2 linked regions of the Tribolium castaneum genome follow. The protein of the gene in region 1 binds, or shares a complex with, the protein of each later gene. Links are inferred from orthologs where the notes say so. Each region holds a gene or a part of one and is shown on either strand. Other genes may lie near its edges. The genes, in order: Tfb5 and Polr2B.

Region 1 (16,218 bases):
CGTCTTTAAATTATATCTTTTTTTCTTTATTTCGCCCATTGCCACATTAAAATCTTAAAAATATGAAAGATTACGTCACCGGTGCCACAACCTTCCCCGTCATAATAACCAAATCTTTCGATCTTATAAAAAACATAAACGGACGATCGGCGGTAAAAAACTTCTGTGCAGTGGGTACGGAAATCGAATTAATACTAGTTTTTTCTAAAAATATTGTCAAACAGTGAGGTCAGGTCAAGTCAAGTCAACTTTTACCATTCAGGTCGCGAATCGGCTCCATGTCCAGCCCTCGTTGGTCCACGTTTATGACACATTTTTGCATAACCAAATCAAAGAAAGCCTCAGTTTTACTCTGAAAAATACCGTCCAGTTCGGCCTCGCTGGTGAATGCTTTGGCCATTCCTAACTGAATCACACTGGAATTGGATTAATCACATTAAAGTGAGACTCACGTATTGCAAAATCGGCTTAAAGTCGATCAAAGACTCGATTTTGAATTTGGGTAAACTGACTTTGACCATTTGGGGGGTGAACGAATTAGCCAAGTACACCTCGTAAAGGTGGGCCTCAATCAGAGCGATATCGCTCGAAACTTTATCAGGGAGCACCACAATCATGGCCAGTGACTCATCATCAAACCTCAACTCCACCAATTTAGCCCCGATTGAGTCGCTCTCAAAGTAGTTAAACTGTCCGGTGATTTCCATCATTTCGACCTTGATGACTTCAACCGCCGTTTTGTAAAAATCCTGACTTTCGATAAACTGAAACGGCTTCAACCACCCACTTTTAAAGAACGCCGTGCTCAGCAAAACCACTTTTGTGTCGCGCGTTAGCACGTTACCATCCACCAAACTTTGGATTTTCTCGCCTGTTTGTTTCCTCACCCCTTCATTGATGCTTTTCGCCACGTCGGCCGGGTTCGCAAAATTCACAAGCTCGGTATCGGCCTGGAAAATCCTTTTCCCGTTTGTCCGAAACTCCTTTTTCACGTTGAGGTTTTTATGGAGGTACATTTTAGTGAGTAGGTTCAAGTGGTAGTGGTCTGGTTTAATCAGGGTTGGGAGGAGCGTCTTCCAGGCGGTTTCGGTGTCACGAGGGTGGTAAGGCAAGTGCAGGGCTGTGGCCATTTCTTGGACTGTTTTGTTCCGGGCCCCACTGGCTGCGAAAGCAATCACGAGTTGGATGGCAAAAGGGCTCACGATCAGGTTTTCGGAGGTTTTGAGGATCTGGAAAAGGGGAAGTAGAGGAGTTGGGGGCTGGGGGACCTACGCTGTAGACATCGGCTGTGAATAGGTTGTTCCCCGAGACGAATTCTTGCAAAGCCACTTTGGAACGAAATGATTGACACGGTGTTGACAATTATTTTAAAGCTTCAAAATCTCAAGCGCGTTAACTAACTGAGCCAAAAACTTAGGGAAAATGTTCCCTTCAGTCCCATGGGTCGAAATCTAGCAAAAAAAGTCGGCGGTAATGGTCAAATTTAAATTTAGTGCCCCCCTATTGCCTGAATTATGCAACCAACATTACACATCAAGTTTTCTTGTTCCATTTATGAGAAAAACAAATCCAGCTAAACTGGCCAACTGGGGACAACAGTCTCAAGCCAATTTTTTTGCTTCTCCTACGTTATATTCCCTTGTAGCCTAGATCTAATTTTTGTTGAAAAAGTGAGCTGGGAATGCGAACAGAAACACTAAGCCCTTTAGTAGCAAAATTTATTGATTTAATACAAAATTTAAGTATCAGAGCATCACCATCAAAAAATATCACACAAGTGATGTAGCCGGTAGTTCCCCCATCATTCACTCTCGACCAAAAGCTCCTCAAACAGCCTTATCAAATTATTAATCCCTTCCAGATAGTTGTTATCAATCTGGTATTTCTCGGCCGGGAAGGCATGAGCAAAATCAATCATCTTCACCGTAGCCCAAAGCTCCGACTTCTGCTCGGTGCACAACTCGTCCAAAATATAAGTATAATCCTGTCTTTTACTCTGCATATCCTTATCGTAATCGTTTTGGAAGGAGTGGGTCCGTTTCAGCGTCCTGATCGATTTCTGCCACACATTATTACTCCTATTCTTCGCAACGTAATCGTCGAATTGCTTCAATTTAGTTGGAGAGGTAGGTGTTCGCAAAATGGGGCCTTCTTTGGTCAACTGACCGCTAAATCCAGTTGAAATCTTCTCGTTGTTGAGAACAGCGAGGCTTAAAGGCCGGTAAAGGCTAGTAGATCGTTGTAATTTTAGAATTGGTTTGGGGTCAGTTTTGCGCAACTCGCGGAGTCTCCGAGCGTCGTAAACAAGGAGAAGAGACGAGGAATAGAAGTGGTAAGTGCGCTGTTTGCGGGCCCACATTTGAATTCGCCATAAACTTGCCAAGAATTGGACTATTAGGCTGCGACAAGGCGGGGACGTCTCGGCGTTGAGGAAAGTCTTCAAAGCTGCGAAAAAACGATTTAAAATAACTTTTAACGAATTTTGAATTTTTGTAAAGTCAGGTTGGCAACACCAACGCGGTTTAAGGTAATTCCACAATCAACTAAAAAATGTAATAGGACAATACATTGTCTGCGTTGGTCGGAAAACACAATTCTGACCAGGAAACTTGTACTGTTTAAGGAAAATTGTAATATTGGGCAAAATAAGCTTTTTTCAATTTCGTCAGGTTGGCGGTACTATCCTACTTCAAATGCTTAACTGAGCGAGAATTTTAGTGTAATTTTTCTAAAAAAAGTGTAAAACCGTCGTCAAAGACGAGTTCAATGATCGTGAAGTGCCTACGTGGGGCCTATTTAATAAAATTGTAAAGTTTGAGAAATGAAATTGGATCGGTAAGCCCTAACCTCACTTTTATTTTAAACACTAAGGACGATTTGTGCATTATTTAACTAAAAAACACGAGTTTTTGTGTGTTCATAAGTCAGGAAATGTGATTTTCAGAATTTGTTCTCAACTGGATCCAAAAATATGAATTTCGTCGTCATTAAAGCATGGTTGGTAGAAAAATATTCCCTGACCGGTTGGTAGCAGTGTTACATTTGACAAAAGTGATGGCGTCGAAAAAATTTTTGAATTCCGAATTATTTTACCTAAGAACAAGCAAACAACAACGAAAACGTATGCTAGTGACAAGAAAAATGAAAATTGACGTGTTCTGGATGTGAAAACGGCACTTCCAAAGCGAAAATTCAATCAACCGGTCGGTAAGTCCTAACCTCACTTTTGACCTTACTAACCTAACGGAACGGTGTCTTTATTAAGAGTTTTTCCGTAATTCTTGTCAAACTTGGCCAACTGGTTGTTGTAAATTTGATAGACTTGAAAACCTGGGATGCAGAAGGCGAGGTCGCGCTTCGAGTCTTGATACTTTGCCTAAAATTTGAATTAATTTTTGCCGTTTTTCCAATGCCGGTTACCTCTTCATTGACGATTTTCTCATAAGTGGCTGTGGGGTCCCACGTCCTTCTCCCGATCTTGATGTCCATGACGCAGGGCTCTTTGTAATGTTTCGTCAGATCTTCAAGCACTATGCAGTCGATTTCCGTGCCCTTGATGGGCACTTTAACCGTCCCGAAGTACTTGGGGACAAAATCCTTCAACTCCCTTCTTGTCTCATCGCTGGCTTTGCTAACTTCTTCGTAAAACTCGACCTCGCGTTGGCCACACTTCGGCTTGGTGATGGGTTTAAGTACAGTGCCCTTGTGCTTAATCATACCTTTTTTGCAAATTTTGTAAATTTCAACATTTCGCATGTACACACTGGTTACCGTATTGTTTTCCCTTGATCATATGACCCGCCACTTGATTTTCGAACAATTGCATATCGGCAGGGATCTCTAGATACTCTTCATCTTCTTCCACTGGATCAACGAGCGAAAAGGCGGCACCTTTACAGCCCGCGTACAAGCTGTCTTGTTTATGAATTGGCATTGGTACGACTTCTGATTTTCCCATTTTTTCAAGCTTATCTGATCGGCTAAAACAACCATAAATGTGATAAATGCGATTATTAAGCCGGGGTTATTAATTTTTCGCAAATTGAAAGGAATTAAGCGATAAGTCGAGGCGGCTATGACCTGACGCAACTTTCGATTTCGAGGCGGCTGTGACCTATCAAATGTCACTTTTGTTTATTTTTTTCTCATCGTGTGGGTACAATCTAATGACAGATGCAACTTTCGATTTCTCACGGCCAACTGAGCCACATTGCAAAGGGTTCGAAACAATTACACGCGCGCCATGACTGCAAAATAATTTAATATTGGTTGGCCCTGAATTTAACAAAAGCTTGTAAGATGCATGGTAATTGTTTTATCATGGCCAAGTGGGGAACCAAATTCGTGGGTGCCAAATTTATGTCCCCTAATCCTTTTAGAATTGCAAACAAAAATTATTTTTATCGATTAAACACTCACTTAGCGCATAACATCATCATAAATTCGCTTGAGTGCCTCGCTTATCATAACAATCACTCGATTGTTATTTTAACGTTTCAGGATAAACGTTTTTCAATTGCATAATAAAATGCAATGTTTATTCAACAAGACATAGTTGACCCTTGAATAATCTCGTTAAGGTATTTTCATTATCGGGGCCGAGATAAATTAAATATTTTCCAACAATAAAACTCGTTGGCAAATGAAGGAAAATGTCACCTTGATGACTAAAGCCAAGTAATAAATTTTGCGCCTAAGAGAGTCGGCGAAATCTTCCAGTGACATAATTTGGGAGCCTTAAACTTGACTTGAATTAGATTTATTAGGGACAAAGTTTGCAACATGAATCCTTATCAGACGCTTTCTAATAACTTTCCCAGAACACCCGGTATAAAAATCGGCGAATTTAATAGGTCACTCTGATAATTGCAATTATTTGTAAAAAGTGCAATTGTCACGACCGTTAGGCGCTTGTTCGGAGGTCAACAGCCCCTTCGCGACCTTTCCCCCGAATAAAAAATATGAAAAAAAAATTATTTCACGAATATTTTTAGAATATGATTCACTTTTTCCCTGAACACAATTAGCGGGGTCTTTGACGCTATAAATATGTAATTTGATCCAACACAAGCTCAAAAAAATAATACAACATAAAATATAAAAAATGTGGCCAGTTCCAGGTGATAGTCCAGGGCACAAAAACCACTAACCTACTCAACTTCGAACCAAAATTTGCGTATTTTGTAACCAAATTTGCACAAAGAGCACTGCAAGATGTTCATTTTATTTAAAGAAAACCGTTTTGGGCGAATCTTGAACCGTCACAGTGAACAAAACCACGTCACTTTGATTTGTGCAAATTTGACACCTTGACGAGTTATTTATACGCGAAAAGGCGCATGCGCACTGTCGCCAACCATAGAAGTAAAAAATTGACTCCCTTTCTCCGGTGATGAAAAATGGAAATTTCGCCAGAAAATCCCACTCGATTTATGTTGGCAATTTGTACGAAACGGCTAATCTAGCCAACTGTTGTTGACACCACAAGTGTTTGTTTAATTTTTTCATTGCCAACGCATTGTGGCGCGAAATTTGAACTAGATTTTTAGGTCTGTTGTTGCCATGACGTGTTTATTAGGGGAATTACCGAGAACCGCCCTCAACTTACCGCCGAAATAAATTTCGCTCATCTCCTCAAACAGGATGTATCGATTGCATTGACTGCGATTTCACGGAAATGTTATCAACGTTCGCACCCACGTGTTAATTGTTTTTTCAACCGGAAATCGCGAAAGTTTATTTACTCGAAAAAATCGTGTACTCGCCGCTAATTCGCCCAATCTCTGTGCATGTATTTTTAAGTCGTCCTTCACTCCACTTTAAGAACACACATTAAAGATGTGTTTTTATAGCGACAATACGACGATAATAAAACGATGACTGACTTTTTGCGACTCGAGGAGACCTTTTCAATAAAATAAATCACTCGGTTTACGAAAATAGAACGGCATGAATGACATCCGATCGAACCTTCGCGGCTTTGCCAACAGTATTTTACACGAGGAAAAATCGACATCAGTAAACAAATCAATTAAAAAATTGTTTATTTGATTAAAATACATATAGATATTTATTTGGTGTATTTGTAGAAGCCTTCGCCGGTTTTCACGCCCAGTTTTTTCTCATCGATTAGTTTTTGTACGGATTCGTTCGGTTTGAAAAGGGGGTTATCAGGGAATTTCTTGTGCCAGCCTTGCATGATGGCGTGCGAGGTGTCATGTCCCACGTAGTCGGCCAGTTCGATGGGGCCCATGGGGTAGCCAGCCCCCAGCTTCATGGCGGTGTCGATATCGCGGGGCGAAGCATCACCTTCGAAAAAAATTCATACATATTTTTTGTGTTAACAGCCTTTCAAAATTTTGACTTGTAATTACTGTATACTGCCGTTAAAAAAAATAGTAAGGTAATGCCGTTTTCCTTATTTTTTTTATTTAGAGATGTTACTGTCTTGACTAGTATTTGCCTTCATAAAGTACTACTTACCGATATTGAGAAATTTCTAAAAATTATGTATGCAAATTTTTTTGAAAATGAAACTATACAAATTACAAATTTTTTAACTAACAATTAGAAAAACTTTATTTGCCACAACATTGATCACATATTAATTATTTATTTAAATGTAATTTAAAAATTTAGCTCGCTTACATAACAAACCTAAAATAAAATATTAATTCATAGTAAAATTTTAAAAATCGGGTTTTTATAAAAAGAAAATTAGAAACGAGATTAACGATTTTGTGTATTGAAATTTTCAAACATTTGTTTTTCCACAAAATTAAAAATCAAATTTTAGTATATGATTAACAGAATACTTAGTAATTTGACATTGGTTAATGCAACTTAAATAGCAACTTTATGAAACGAGCCTTAGCGAGTGTCGTACGAGTGTTTTAAATTAAATGCGAGTTACATACACTATTTTTTTACGATCCGACTGATTAAAATTAAAAGACTTGCATTTTTTTTCAAAATGATTAATTTATTTTTAAAGTCAGACTCAAGGCAATCTAATAGTTGCTGCCATGTTACATTCTCATTGGTCACAAGTTGTCCTCGTGGTCACTACTCTGCATTACCATTGGTTACAAGCCAGTATCATAATGATTTTCATTAAAGTACAGGTCACAAACATTTTTAATCAATCACTTCAGGAATGGGAGTAGAAAAAATATATAACATTATAAGATAGTATTGTTTTCAGCTAATTTTTTTTATATTGGTGAAGGTTAAGTTATTGAATCAAACTTTAACTGTCGTTATGTTAAAATATTTCAATAAAAGATTAGCAAAAAATGTTAGGTACAATGCAAATTTATATATTTTTTAAATAAAACACCCTATATTGTGCATTTTTGGATATATAGAGTGTGTCTAAAGTAACGCATAAAATTCATATTATTCTGATTTTTCAAAATAAGCAAAAAAATAATCGCCCCTTATAAAATTTTTTTTTTTTCTAAATTTTTTATTTATCACTTCAATTTTTTGCACTTACTATAAAGATAAAAGAGTAATATCTACTATAAAAAACAGTAACCAAAAATATCGATTCCCATTTAAAAAAATTAAAAATAGCGGCATTATTGAGAAACCAGTGATGTCACAAATGTTACCATGTAGCATTTACAAAAATAAGCTCGACCTGTTCGAGGATTTTTTTGAAAAATGACCTTCAACAAATACATAGTTCTTAATCATAATGTTGTTTCACCAGTAGATTTTGCTAAGTTTTTGAAAAAAACCTCAAAATCCAATAAGAAAAAAAACCGGGTTGACATAAATTTACTTGGAAAAAAAATCCTAAATTTCATCTTGACAGTCTGAAGTCTGAAGAATTTTTCGGTATTTTATAACTCGATTTATTTTCCATTCGTAGAGCCTTATTGGCAATAAAAATATTTTCAAAAATTCATTTCGTTTTGTGTAACTCAAGTCGTATCAGATTTATTGAACGCCTGTATTTGCCACAAGCTTGGCAACCTTAAAGCTCTCAGCTTCGCTTCGAGCTTCAATATTACATAATTATTACCTCTCTCCATCATCCTGATGGCTTCTGCTATATAGGGCACCAGAAGCCTGTTAACAATAAACCCGGGGGTGTCCTTGCAGGTGACGCAGGTCTTGCCCACGGCTTTGCCCCACGCCATAAAGGCCTCGTACGTCTCCTGCGACGTCTCCGGAGTCCTAACAACCTCCAAAAGCTTCATAACGGGCACGGGATTGAAAAAATGCAGCCCCCCGAACCTATCCTTCCTCTTCGTAACGGAGGCAATTTCGGTAATCGAGAGCGAGCTCGTATTTGACGCAAACATGGTTTTGGGGGGCGCGACCTCATCCAAATTTTTGAACAATTTGTGCTTAACATCCATGTTTTCAACAATCGCCTCCACGACCAAATCGCTGTCTTTCACAGCTTCGGCAATGTCGGTGCACCCCTTAATCCGGGCCTGCGATTCGCTCACGAATTTATTAGCGGCTTGCGGGTCATCCTTGTGGAGTTTTTTGGCGACTCGTACCAAGTTTTTCGCAATGCTGTCTTCGGCTTTTTTGATCAAGTCGGGGTTGACTTCCACGATGGTCACGTTGTGGCCGGTTTGCGCGGCCACCTAAGCAAGGGGGCGAATGTTAGGTTAGGTTCGGGTGGTTTGGGGTACACTTACTTGGGCGATGCCTGAGCCCATGAGGCCGCCCCCGATCACAGTTACGTTTTTTATAACTGCGTTCATGGGGCTTGAAGTTGAAAGGCTTCGCTTGATGAACAGGTTTAGGGCCATTTTTTCGCGTTCGGTTACGAGTAAAAAGTGGTGTGTAATGCGGATTTTGTTTGGTTTATTAACGATACAATAACTAGGTGAAAGTCCAAGTTTGTAACCTATGATCGACTCCCACCGCTACGTTTGTGTACTTTTTAATCATTTTATCGTTTATGGCGAGATTAGGGCTCAGAAGTGAAAATCATCGTGCCGATGGTTTAAAAATAATCCGCTTTCGATAACGAGTGCGACTTTTGTACCTGAATTTATTTAGGTATTATGTAATAAAAGTGCAACATCATTCAGTCAAGTGGTACACAGGAGGGTTCCAAAATGGGGCTATATAGCAATCCCTGTTATCAATTTATCCACTTTTTTCAAAGAAATACTTGAAAAAAAATATAATTTTGGGGAAATTTGTGATTATGCAATCAGCAATACACGTGTGAGAGGTTAGTTGCATTCTATAAGTTGTCAAATGTCATAAAAACACCAACTTTTGTAAGAAAAATAATTTATTTCTGATTTAAAAAAGTACACAATTCTCGATTATCAACAATGGTTAATGTAATGAAAGGCGTTTTGGTGACCTGGTAAGGCCCTAACAATTTTTTTGAGTTTTTGTTTGACATAACCTCAATCATGCCAGATAATCCAAATCTCCGGGAATCCCAAACTGCTTATTTAAAACCTTATCTTCCATCATAAACTTCCTTTTGCACCATGATTTGACCGCGAAGATATTATCAGTCCATCGATTTGCTGCTTCTTTTACCGGTTTTATCTCACTTTGCATTAATTTCAAATTTTGAGTATCTGTGTGAGATTTCGACAGAGATTCGAATTTTTCTTTCTGTTTTTCCAGTTTTTCAATTTCCTTCAAAATCTGGCTGTCGTCCCAATTCTCTTTCCCCACCTGCGCTTTTTCCATAGTTTCGTCAATTAATTTCAATTTTTTTGTTGACGATTCTAATTTCGTTTGAAGCTCGTTAAGTTTGCGTTTTTTCGCGTTAAGTAATTTGCTGTAATTAGGATAAAACGTGTTTTTGGCCCGTCTATACCGTTTTTCGGACACTCTCCCAGTTATCTCAGTGATCTCCGTTATTATAAGAGATACGAGGTCGGTTAAATTAGGGCAAAGTTGCGCATTTTTATGCTGAACAATTATTTGAAAAAAAAAATTGTAATTTTCGTTTTTATTTTTTCAAGTGAAAACCAAAAGAACTAGACGTAGGACTTTTTCGGGCACTTTTTACAAGGAATCTAAATTTGTCATCGGATTTTCCTAGGCTTGCTTGATGTCAGAGTTACAACACTTAACTTCGTTTTTTTTATGGGAAAAAAATAAAAACGAAAATCATTTTTTTAAATTTCTCTCAATAATTCAAAAACTAAAAATGGCACATAAAATTTTCTTTCAGAAATTGTTTTGCATACAAATGCACAACTTCTCAAAAAAACGGACACCCTGTATAATATTTACCTGGGAAAAGCCCAAAAGTAGACGGAACTCCCGATCTTATCCTTATCAACAGAACCATCATCCACCAAAGCTTGGACCACTTCTTTCACAGAATTCGCCGTAATTCCTTTCTCCTTTGGCGCAATTATTTCCAATTCATTCATTTGATAAAAATCCCCAGTCTCGTGAAACAATTGCAACATCCTAGCCTTTTTCTCCTCAAAACTTAGACCTTTTTTCTTGAACATTTTCCCCTAAAAAATGCGTTGTTTCAGTGACCAGGCCATGAAACAATTCCTTTTGTATTTAGATGAGACTACAAAACTAGGCCGAAAATTCATAATTCAGGACTTGGATGAAAACCACTTATTTATTTCAGCCGATATTTTAGAGACATTACAGGCAAAAATCGACGATCTGATGGACCAAATTAGCTTCCCAGTCGCCGAAAAAAGCAATTAATTTTTTGTAATTTGCAAAAGTGAGGTTATGTCATATTGATGTGTGGTCATTCGAATTATAAATAAAAAGCGCAGCATTTATATAATGACGTGTTTTGCTATAAATAATATCGTTGCGGGCCGGTTTTCGTCCATACTTACGCAATAAGGCACTAATTAACTGTTTTTTCAAATTGTCGGTACAAATAATACAGTTCCCTGTAAATTGGAAGTGGCTACAATTACGCTTCTTTGATAACCGACTATTCTACAGTTGTTACGCCATCACGAACATTTTTACACACAAATGATAAGAATAGAATTAAGCAATAGATAACGGAAACGTGTCACTAATTATAATTTTTCCCTGATTTAATAGCCGCCGTGACGTAACCACAGCCACATGTCAAACGTCACAATTGACTTCTTTGGTTATGTTCCGTTTGTCAAAGTTATAAAACGAAAAAACGCGTTTCTCGGCCACAAATCATCAAGTGTGTTAAGTTCCGTGTCAGTGCATTTACCCCCATCATGACGGTGCCCACCCCCAGCGAGAAACTCCTCACCAATGGCTCCACCACTCCCAAGCGCCAAAACGGCCAAAAATCGGGCCTCATGAAGCTATCAAGTTACGTGCTAGCCTTGCGTCCGTGGTCCCTCAGTGCCAGTCTCATGCCCACACTGTTGGGCTCCACCATAGCGTACAAATACCCCGGAGTTACCGATTTCAACTACGCCACCCTCCTGCTCACAATTTTCACCGTGGTGTCGGTGCACGGCGCCGGAAACGTCGTCAACACCTACTTCGACTACGTCAAGGGGATCGACAACCGGAAATCGGACGACCGGATCCTGGTGGACCACATTCTGACCAAAGACGAGGTGGTGTCTCTGGGGGCCCTTTTATACTTTGCCGGCTGTGTGGGGTTCATTCTCTTGGCGGCGTTGAGCCCCGCGAAGATGGAGCACTTGGCTTTGGTCTATTTCGGGGGGCTGTCGTCGAGCTTCCTCTACACGGGAGGTATAGGCTTCAAGTATATAGCCCTCGGGGATGTGCTTATTTTGATTTTGTTCGGCCCCATTTCGGTGCTTTTCGCCTTCATGTCGCAAACGGGGCGCGTCGAGTGGGCGACGATTTACTACGCCATCCCTCTGGCCCTTAATACTGAGGCGATTTTACATAGTAATAACACAAGGGACTCTGAGTCGGACAAAAAGGTGGGAATTGTGACTCTGGCGATTATTATCGGCCACACTGCCTCGCACGTCTTGTACGCGTTTTTGTTGTTCACCCCGTATATCATGTTCATGGTGGCCTCGTTGAAATACTCGAAATGGTTCATGTTGCCTCTAGTCACGCTTCCTAGCGCTTTTAAAATCGAAAAACAGTTCAGATCCAACGATATACACAGTGTGCCCAAAAAGACTGCCAAATTGAATTTGTTTTTCGGTGTTTTGTACGTGCTGGCCTGTAGTTTGGTTCCAGCGCTGCCGTACGTCACCAAAAGATAGATGTACGAGCTCTTATTAGTTGTATTTATTTCTATTAAGTTATTTTTTACTGTGTTGAGGAACTGCGTCAAAAGGGGGCGCTAGTGCGGGTTTGCGGCTTGGGGTCCAAGCCGCAATACCTTCTCATTTTCGTTTGTTACGTCGAGATTATTGTACTTATGACAATGAACAGTCACGATCATAAAGAATGTCATCCCTATAAACTGTTGGGTCGTAAACGTCAATAAACATGATTTCGGGTTTTTACTTTTGTAACATCAACGATATTCTAATCGTGTAAATTAATAAATGTAGTCTATTTACTCCAAGTATGATCAAAACTGTATTACGTAATGTGTTAGCTTTTTAAGTAGTACTTATTTACTTATTTTTAAACAAAAGTAGGTGTACTAAAGTTCAAAACCAACGTTAGTTACATTCTGTTCCAGTTGTTAGCCACTTTTAATTTAAAATTTTAAATAGTACCCTCTATTTTTTGAAACATTTTTGTTATAAATTTTTACTTATCTTTAAATAATCTTTTTTTTGTTAGAAATTTTGCCTTTAATTTAATGTTTCTAAAAGTCCTAGTCTTTTGTCAAGTATTTACCAATAAAATTCTAAAAAAAAGTGATTATACAAAAGGACGAAGTCGCTCACAGACAAACCGAAAATGGGGTCTTACTTAAAACGAATCATCCGTTTTTAACCGCAAGTTGTTAAAGAAACTCGGCTTCGCCTCGGCTGGAATTTTTCTTTATTCAAAACGGTTGCAAAAAATAATAACGATGTTTCTCCATTTATGGATTCTATCAATATGAACTTACTAATATTTGGTCCTTCGAGCCGGATAAAGCAGCCATGTTGGCCGTGGAAAAATTATTTCACAGAAAATGTGTACAAAGTTAAAGGTTTTGCAAAATTTACACTTTTAAGCTAGAAATTCATTTATTTGGCCAAATTAAAAAAAAAATTGGAAACCTCAAAATTTAAAGTAAACTTTACAGTTTTGAAGCAACAGATTTTTGACTGATTTGACTTTGCAAAGGTAAATTCGATATTTGCTGGCCAATTCTATATATTCGTAATAAAAAAAATTATTTTATTAATCGATTTACATGAAAACGAGTTGAATACAACATTTATTTTTCGAATTTGACTCAACAAGGCTTGAAATTGCTTTAAATCTGTTAGAATAGTCAGACATTTCGTATTGAAAAATGCCAAATAGTTAAATAACTATTATGTTTGCTTAGAAACAATTTTTTAAATTTTAAATGAAAAATTATTATTGGAATTAATTATAAATTCACTGTTTTAGTTTTCAAATATGAACATACTCCTATAGATTGACTTTGTCAATGCAAGGTAAATGGTAACTTACTTTGAATTAATTTAACGTTGGAATAAATTTTAACTTGTTTTCTGTACGCCGACTCTAATTACATGTATATTATACGATTTTAATATCATTGGGGCCTAAAATCTAATAGTCGAGAAAACACTCGATGATGTGAAATTTACATTTATGACCTAAAAGATCATTGCTGTGGTTCGTAGGGGTGACATTCTTTCTGGTCGTGACTGAACCTAATCAGGTGATTGGCTCTTTCAAGGCGGGGTTTAGTCCCTGATTGGCCAATTATAAATCATGTATTTTTATAGCTGATTAATTTATTGTTAATGTTGATGAGTTTTGTATGACGTTGTGTAAGAGATTTTATAGTAAATCATTATAATTTCCGTTTGTTTTTATTTTGTGTGTCTAGACTAATATTAAACGAAACGCTTGGTAGTGGTAGTAGGCGCCATTTGACGTTTGGGGGCGCTGCAATCGCATCTCTTCCAGTCACTGCTCAGACTACTTCAATTGACAATAACGGAAAAGTCTGCGTAAAAATATCAAATAATTTATTCGTAGTGTGTGGGTTGGCCACCTGGCGGCTTGTTCGGGGCTTATGACTTAATCAATTATTCAAAGCGCGTCAGGGACAGCCTTTAGCACAATTTTCGGTAGTGATAATAGCACAATCATAGCATTTAAAATTGTTGGTCTAGTGGGATTTACAGGTTTGTTCCTGCGGAAGTTTTAGTCCTGAACCGTTTTTTACTTACGAGCTGTTTTGTCGGACAAACCTCTAGTTACCGAGACAGTATTGCATGATAGGGCTTTTACGAAAACACATATCTGATTTTTGTATAAATTTTATTGACCCATTACATACAAACTAACCTACGTTTTCATATAAAAATTGTTTTGCTTTGTTTTCATTACAAATAAATTTGATTATTTCGGTGTCTACAAGCTTTAACCTAAAATTATCTAGAAAAAATATCGGGAAACAATCAAATTTGTTTGCACTAACAGTTAATTCGATTAGATGAAAAAAATGTACATCTCACTTTGCGTTTTGTATAATTATGTACAAAAATAATCCACCGGACTGGGGGAAAGTCAAGACAAACAATAAGTTGGCATTAATTACTGAACTAAAAAAGCAACAATTTGGCAGTATGAATTTGAGGAACAAATGCAAACGAAACGAGATTCTCAGCCTTCCTTCCTTCCGGTCGAAATAAACTCAGTTTTATCCAAAAATTATATTTATACCAAAAAATAATAAAATTAATTTGCCGAACGTGTCTTTTCTGATTTCCATATCCTAATGCGCTCCTTCAACTCATTCACTGCAACATCCAAATTTTTAATTCCCCTACGAAAAAGCAACTTGAAACTAACCTGGCTGCAGCATATCTTCAGTCAATGGTTGCCGATTAAACGGGTCCGTACTGCTATTCAACAAATGCCTCATAATGACGGACCTGTCCATCACCTGCCCACTGGGCAACAACACAGGATCAGTCATCAAAGTGTCCATTAAGGGATCCTTGAATTCGTCAGGGGCGTCGCTCATCCAGTCATCACTTTTCTGGTTATTTTGATACACGTGATACGCCTTATCGGCCAAGGCCTTAAACCGTTCGATCTCAACCGGAGTTTTGATTGACAGGCGCTCTAATCGCGCCGCTGCGTCGTCAAACAAATCTTTCCGGAAAGATCTCTGCAAAGAACAGCGTATTATTCCTAGAACCGTAAATTAAATCAATTATCATGTTACGGAGGACTAGCTTGATAGATTTTCTGTATGCAAAAAATAGTACGGCAGAGTAAAAATGAGGGCGCTTCGTTTTAAACTTATTGTTTAAATAAATGATGTTAAGCTTTGCATTCTTGAGAGACTGAGAAAAACTGGTGGCTAAAATTTTTATAAGAAACATGGGAAAAATTATTAAAGATTTAAAATTTGCGCCTCGTCCTGTTTTTTTTTAAGACGCTGTTTGGGAGATTAATAAAATGTTGTGGAAAAAGTTAAAAATTTTGGTTTAAAATCTCGTGAAAACTCCCATATTCCCTGGCATTTACGTGATATTTTTCGTAATATTCTTCCTTCTTCCCAATCGGGGTTTAGAAAAGGTTTCAGTACAAATGCTTCATTAACTAATATTTTAGATAACTATCAGATACACTGTTACTGGTTTAAACACTGCATTATCATTAATGGACTTTTGATAAAATAAATAATTCATTGCTTTGTGCCAAACTTAAGTTTATGGGTTTTTAGTAAAACTGTTTAAAATTCTGTTTATGGTTCAACTGAACAATTTATTATCATACTGTGGAAGACTTACTTCAGGGGTACCCCAAGGCTCCGTTTTAGGGCCCTTATTGTAAATTAAATGACGTTGATCTAAACATACATTTTGAAAATTCTAAATTAAAAATTGTCAAAAGTATAAAATTAATGGGCGTTGGTTTTGATCAAGAATTACGTTTCAAATGTCATGTCTCTCTTATGGTAAAAAATAGTTACGTGTGTTTGCGTCTACTAAACCCAAACCATAGTATAATTGATTTCAAATTAAGAAAAAAAACTCTGTGAAACACTTGTATTATCAATTATAAATTATTGTCTCACACTTTTTTACCCTTGTATTGGCTCTAATTACAAAACTTGCTTACTATTTAAACAGCGCATTATTCCTAGAACCGTAAATTAAATCAATTATC
Region 2 (4,086 bases), on another chromosome or scaffold:
CCGGAATGTGGTACGTGTCTCCAGTGGTTTATTTTTAATGGTACTATTTTGAACAGACCAGGGACCATGACTGGGCCATTTACGTGAACCCAGTGGGCGTGGACGCGGCCGTCAAGACCCAGAACACGCGGTGTGTGGCCGGGGGCTACATCTGGAACCCCTATTTCACCCAACTGGCCGACCCCCTCAATGTATATTTTGCTTTTTTTTTAATTTTATAATATAATGTTCTGGTTTCAGGGTGATCTTTATCGGCAAGAGTGCGGGCCTGAGAACCCGCTCAGGTGCCACGTGGGGGACCTGTCGGCCCGTTTGGGGACCATCGACATCGGGCTCCAGCGCAAAGTCTTCACCGATGCGAATTTCCCGCTCGAAGGCGACGTCACGGCAATCGGGCGCTCCATCGTCATCATGAGCCCCAACAGACGTCCCGAACGTTACGCCTGTGCCAATATCGAGCCCGACTATGACATAATCAAGTACGCAAACATCGAAAAGCCCCCACGTTTTGTCCTGTCGCAGTTTATCGAAGAAGTGCGCGAAATTCTGGGAATCCCCGACTGGTTTTTGACCGTAGATTCGCGCAAAACCAAGTCTTTGCACAGCGACGCTTGCGTCCAGCTTTTGCTGCATTTTAAAGGACCGCTAGCTAACCGATTAGAGCAGGATTTCAGCCGATTGCTGGCAAGTGGGCGTTTAGACACCCCCACATTGTACATTCCAGGGTTTATTAATACGAAACGTAAGGTGAAAATTGCGTACAAGCAGTGTGGAGTACAAGACCCCAACGAGAAGAGTAAGTTTATGGATTAGGCGACAAAAAATGAGTGTATTTTGCAGGTAAAAAACGGACCGGATTTTTCTTTGCACGCTCAGGAAGCAACCCAGCCAAATTTGCTCACAGTCTGATTGTAGTGATAGTTTTAAGCTATTTATTGTAATGATATGACTGTTCCTAATAAAAAAGTAATATATTACCATGGAGTTTGAAATTTAGCGCCAATAATGAAGTCACGTGGTGCAATCCACAAAAAATCAAAAACGCAATATAATTAAAAAATTGGACTTGTTACCACTTACCTGACCTTTAAGTCACATTACAGATAATTATTAAATATTTTTTTGGTCGAATAGTGTAATTTAACATCGTATCTTGAAAATCTGGAGACTTTTTTGTTGTATGGTTACGTAACACTTCAAGGTCATTGCAGGAAAATAAAAAATTGGGCCGTATTTAACAAGTTTTTTATTTGTTTTCCAAAGTATTGTGTTTGGGGCTACCCCCCGAACATAAAATATTAATTTATTTCACAAAATAAGGGTTTTCTTGGGGTCCCCATACAAAGTCAACTGACACTTGACAGACGCTCAAAACTTGTGTTTTGTGCGTCTCATTTGTGCCCCATTTTTTGCAAATAATCAGCAATGTATGAACAAGACGAAGGTACGCAATCCCCCTTGAGTAGCCCCCGAGCCATTTGTAACAAAAACCGGCTTTTCAGACCAATTCGACGATGAAGAGTCTGAAGAAATCAGCTCCGAGTTGTGGCAAGAGGCCTGCTGGATCGTCATCAACGCCTATTTCGACGAAAAAGGCCTCGTCCGGCAACAACTGGACAGTTTCGACGAGTTTATCCAAATGTCGGTGCAACGAATCGTCGAAGACTCGCCCCAAATCGACCTCCAAGCCGAGGCACAGCACACAAGCGGCGAGCTTGAAAACCCCTCTCGGTATTTACTGAAATTCGAGCAGATCTACCTATCCAAACCGACCCATTGGGAGAAAGACGGCGCCCCCTCGCCCATGATGCCCAACGAGGCCCGCTTGCGCAACCTGACCTACTCGGCCCCCTTGTACGTCGATATCACCAAGACCATAGTCAAGGACGGCGAGGACCCCATTGAGACCCAGCACCAGAAAACCTTCATCGGGAAAATCCCGATTATGCTCCGATCCACGTACTGTCTCCTCAACGGTCTAACCGACCGCGACTTGACCGAACTCAACGAGTGCCCCCTTGACCCCGGCGGCTACTTCATCATCAACGGCTCAGAGAAAGTCCTAATCGCCCAGGAGAAAATGGCCACGAACACCGTCTACGTCTTCTCGATGAAAGACGGGAAATACGCCTTCAAATCCGAAATCCGCTCCTGTCTCGAGCACAGCTCGCGCCCCACGTCCACCCTCTGGGTCAACATGATGGCACGTGGGGGCCAGGCGATCAAAAAGGCCGCCATCGGGCAACGAATCATCGCGATCTTGCCCTACATCAAGCAGGAGATCCCCATCATGATCGTGTTCCGGGCCTTGGGGTTCGTGGCCGATCGGGACATCCTCGAGCACATTATTTACGACTTCGAAGACCCCGAGATGATGGAAATGGTGAAACCGTCCCTGGACGAAGCGTTCGTGATCCAGGAACAGAACATCGCACTCAACTTCATTGGGACCAGGGGGGCCCGGCCGGGCGTCACCAAAGAAAAGCGTATCAAATACGCGCGAGAGATCCTCCAGAAGGAGATGCTGCCCCACGTTGGAGTGTCCGATTTTTGCGAGACGAAAAAAGCCTACTTTTTGGGGTACATGGTGCACCGGTTGCTCCTGGCGGCTTTGGGGCGCCGCGAGCTGGACGATCGGGATCACTACGGTAACAAACGACTGGACTTGGCGGGGCCCCTGCTTGCGTTTTTGTTCCGTGGGTTGTTTAAAAACTTGATGAAGGAAGTACGGATGTATGCCCAGAAATTTATTGATCGGGGCAAAGACTTTAACCTCGACTTGGCCATTAAGACTAAGTTGATTACGGACGGGTTGAGGTATTCTCTGGCGACTGGTAACTGGGGGGACCAGAAGAAGGCCCACCAGGCCAGAGCCGGTGTCTCGCAGGTGTTGAACCGTTTGACTTTTGCCTCGACTTTGTCGCACTTGAGACGTGTTAATTCGCCCATTGGACGTGACGGGAAGTTGGCGAAGCCCCGACAGTTGCACAACACGCTCTGGGGGATGATTTGTCCGGCGGAGACACCAGAAGGGGCGGCTGTTGGTCTGGTGAAAAATCTGGCCCTCATGGCGTATATTTCGGTGGGGTCGCAACCCTCTCCAATTTTGGAGTTTTTGGAGGAGTGGTCGATGGAGAATTTGGAGGAGATTGCGCCGTCTGCCATAGCCAACGCGACCAAGATTTTTGTTAATGGTTGCTGGGTGGGAATTCACAGGGACCCCGAACAGTTGATGGCGACGTTACGCAAGTTGAGGAGACAGATGGATATTATTGTGTCGGAGGTTTCCATGATTCGGGATATTCGGGACCGGGAGATTCGCATTTACACGGATGCTGGACGGATTTGTCGGCCGTTACTAATCGTGGAAAATGGGACTTTATTGTTGAAGAAGCGCCACATTGATATGTTGAAAGAGAGGGAATATAATAACTACGGGTGGCAGGTTTTGGTGGCTTCAGGGGTTGTCGAATATATCGATACTTTGGAAGAGGAGACTGTGATGATTGCGATGTCTCCGGACGATTTGAGACAGGAGAAGGAATACGCGTATTGTACCACTTACACACATTGTGAGATCCATCCAGCTATGATTTTGGGTGTTTGTGCCAGTATTATACCCTTCCCGGATCACAACCAGAGTCCCAGAAACACATATCAAGTATTTGTTTTGGTGTTGTTTGAATTTTTTTAGTAATTAATTTTTTCCTCAGAGTGCTATGGGCAAGCAAGCCATGGGTGTGTACATCACCAACTTCCATGTCCGCATGGACACCCTTGCCCACGTCCTGTATTACCCCCACAAACCGTTGGTTACAACCAGATCAATGGAATATCTCAGATTCAGGGAATTACCGGCTGGGATTAACAGCATCGTGGCCATTGCGTGTTACACCGGTTATAACCAGGAGGATTCGGTTATTTTGAACGCGTCGGCCGTCGAAAGGGGATTTTTCCGGTGAGTATTAAAAAAAAGTAATATAGTAGAAATAAAATAATTTGTTATTTTGTGCTTTAGATCTGTGTTTTACCGCTCGTACAAGGACGCCGAATCGAAACGCATCGGCGACCAAGAGGAGCAGTTCG

What was found.
Region 2: Tfb5 (region 1) and Polr2B share a complex: the UniProt entries of both Homo sapiens proteins name them as parts of the TBP-based Pol II pre-initiation complex. The link is inferred for Tribolium castaneum from reciprocal best matches to the Homo sapiens genes GTF2H5 and POLR2B.

What each region holds. Positions count from the first base shown.
Region 1 is NC_087399.1:6,492,919-6,509,136, reverse strand, and holds Tfb5 (general transcription factor IIH subunit 5), read left to right. Parts: upstream 1-9,207; 5' UTR 9,208-9,314; coding exon 9,315-9,349; exon of another isoform or gene 9,350-9,396; coding exon of another isoform or gene 9,397-9,778; intron 9,779-10,239; coding exon of another isoform or gene 10,240-10,466; exon of another isoform or gene 10,467-10,472; intron 10,473-10,493; coding exon 10,494-10,680; 3' UTR 10,681-10,765; downstream 10,766-16,218. Other genes in the region: alaserpin, read right to left, coding at 71-204, 256-406, 453-1,130; Ipk2 (inositol polyphosphate multikinase), read right to left, coding at 1,802-2,445, 3,241-3,376, 3,421-3,719, 3,772-3,958; hydroxyacyl-coenzyme A dehydrogenase, mitochondrial, read right to left, coding at 6,071-6,309, 8,033-8,609, 8,664-8,777; meiotic nuclear division protein 1 homolog, read right to left, coding at 9,397-9,778, 10,240-10,466; heix (ubiA prenyltransferase domain-containing protein 1 homolog), read left to right, coding at 11,190-12,170; Ube4B (ubiquitin conjugation factor E4 B), read right to left, coding at 14,776-14,837, 14,890-15,211. UniProt on the Homo sapiens protein: Component of the general transcription and DNA repair factor IIH (TFIIH) core complex, which is involved in general and transcription-coupled nucleotide excision repair (NER) of damaged DNA and, when complexed to CAK, in RNA transcription by RNA polymerase II.
Region 2 is NC_087395.1:24,234,855-24,238,940, reverse strand, and holds the start of Polr2B (DNA-directed RNA polymerase II subunit RPB2), read left to right. Parts: upstream 1-1,286; 5' UTR 1,287-1,425; coding exon 1,426-1,444; intron 1,445-1,502; coding exon 1,503-3,661; intron 3,662-3,713; coding exon 3,714-3,958; intron 3,959-4,018; coding exon 4,019-4,086. Other genes in the region: uncharacterized protein Rsod, read left to right, coding at 1-10, 57-191, 241-796, 841-941. UniProt on the Homo sapiens protein: Catalytic core component of RNA polymerase II (Pol II), a DNA-dependent RNA polymerase which synthesizes mRNA precursors and many functional non-coding RNAs using the four ribonucleoside triphosphates as substrates.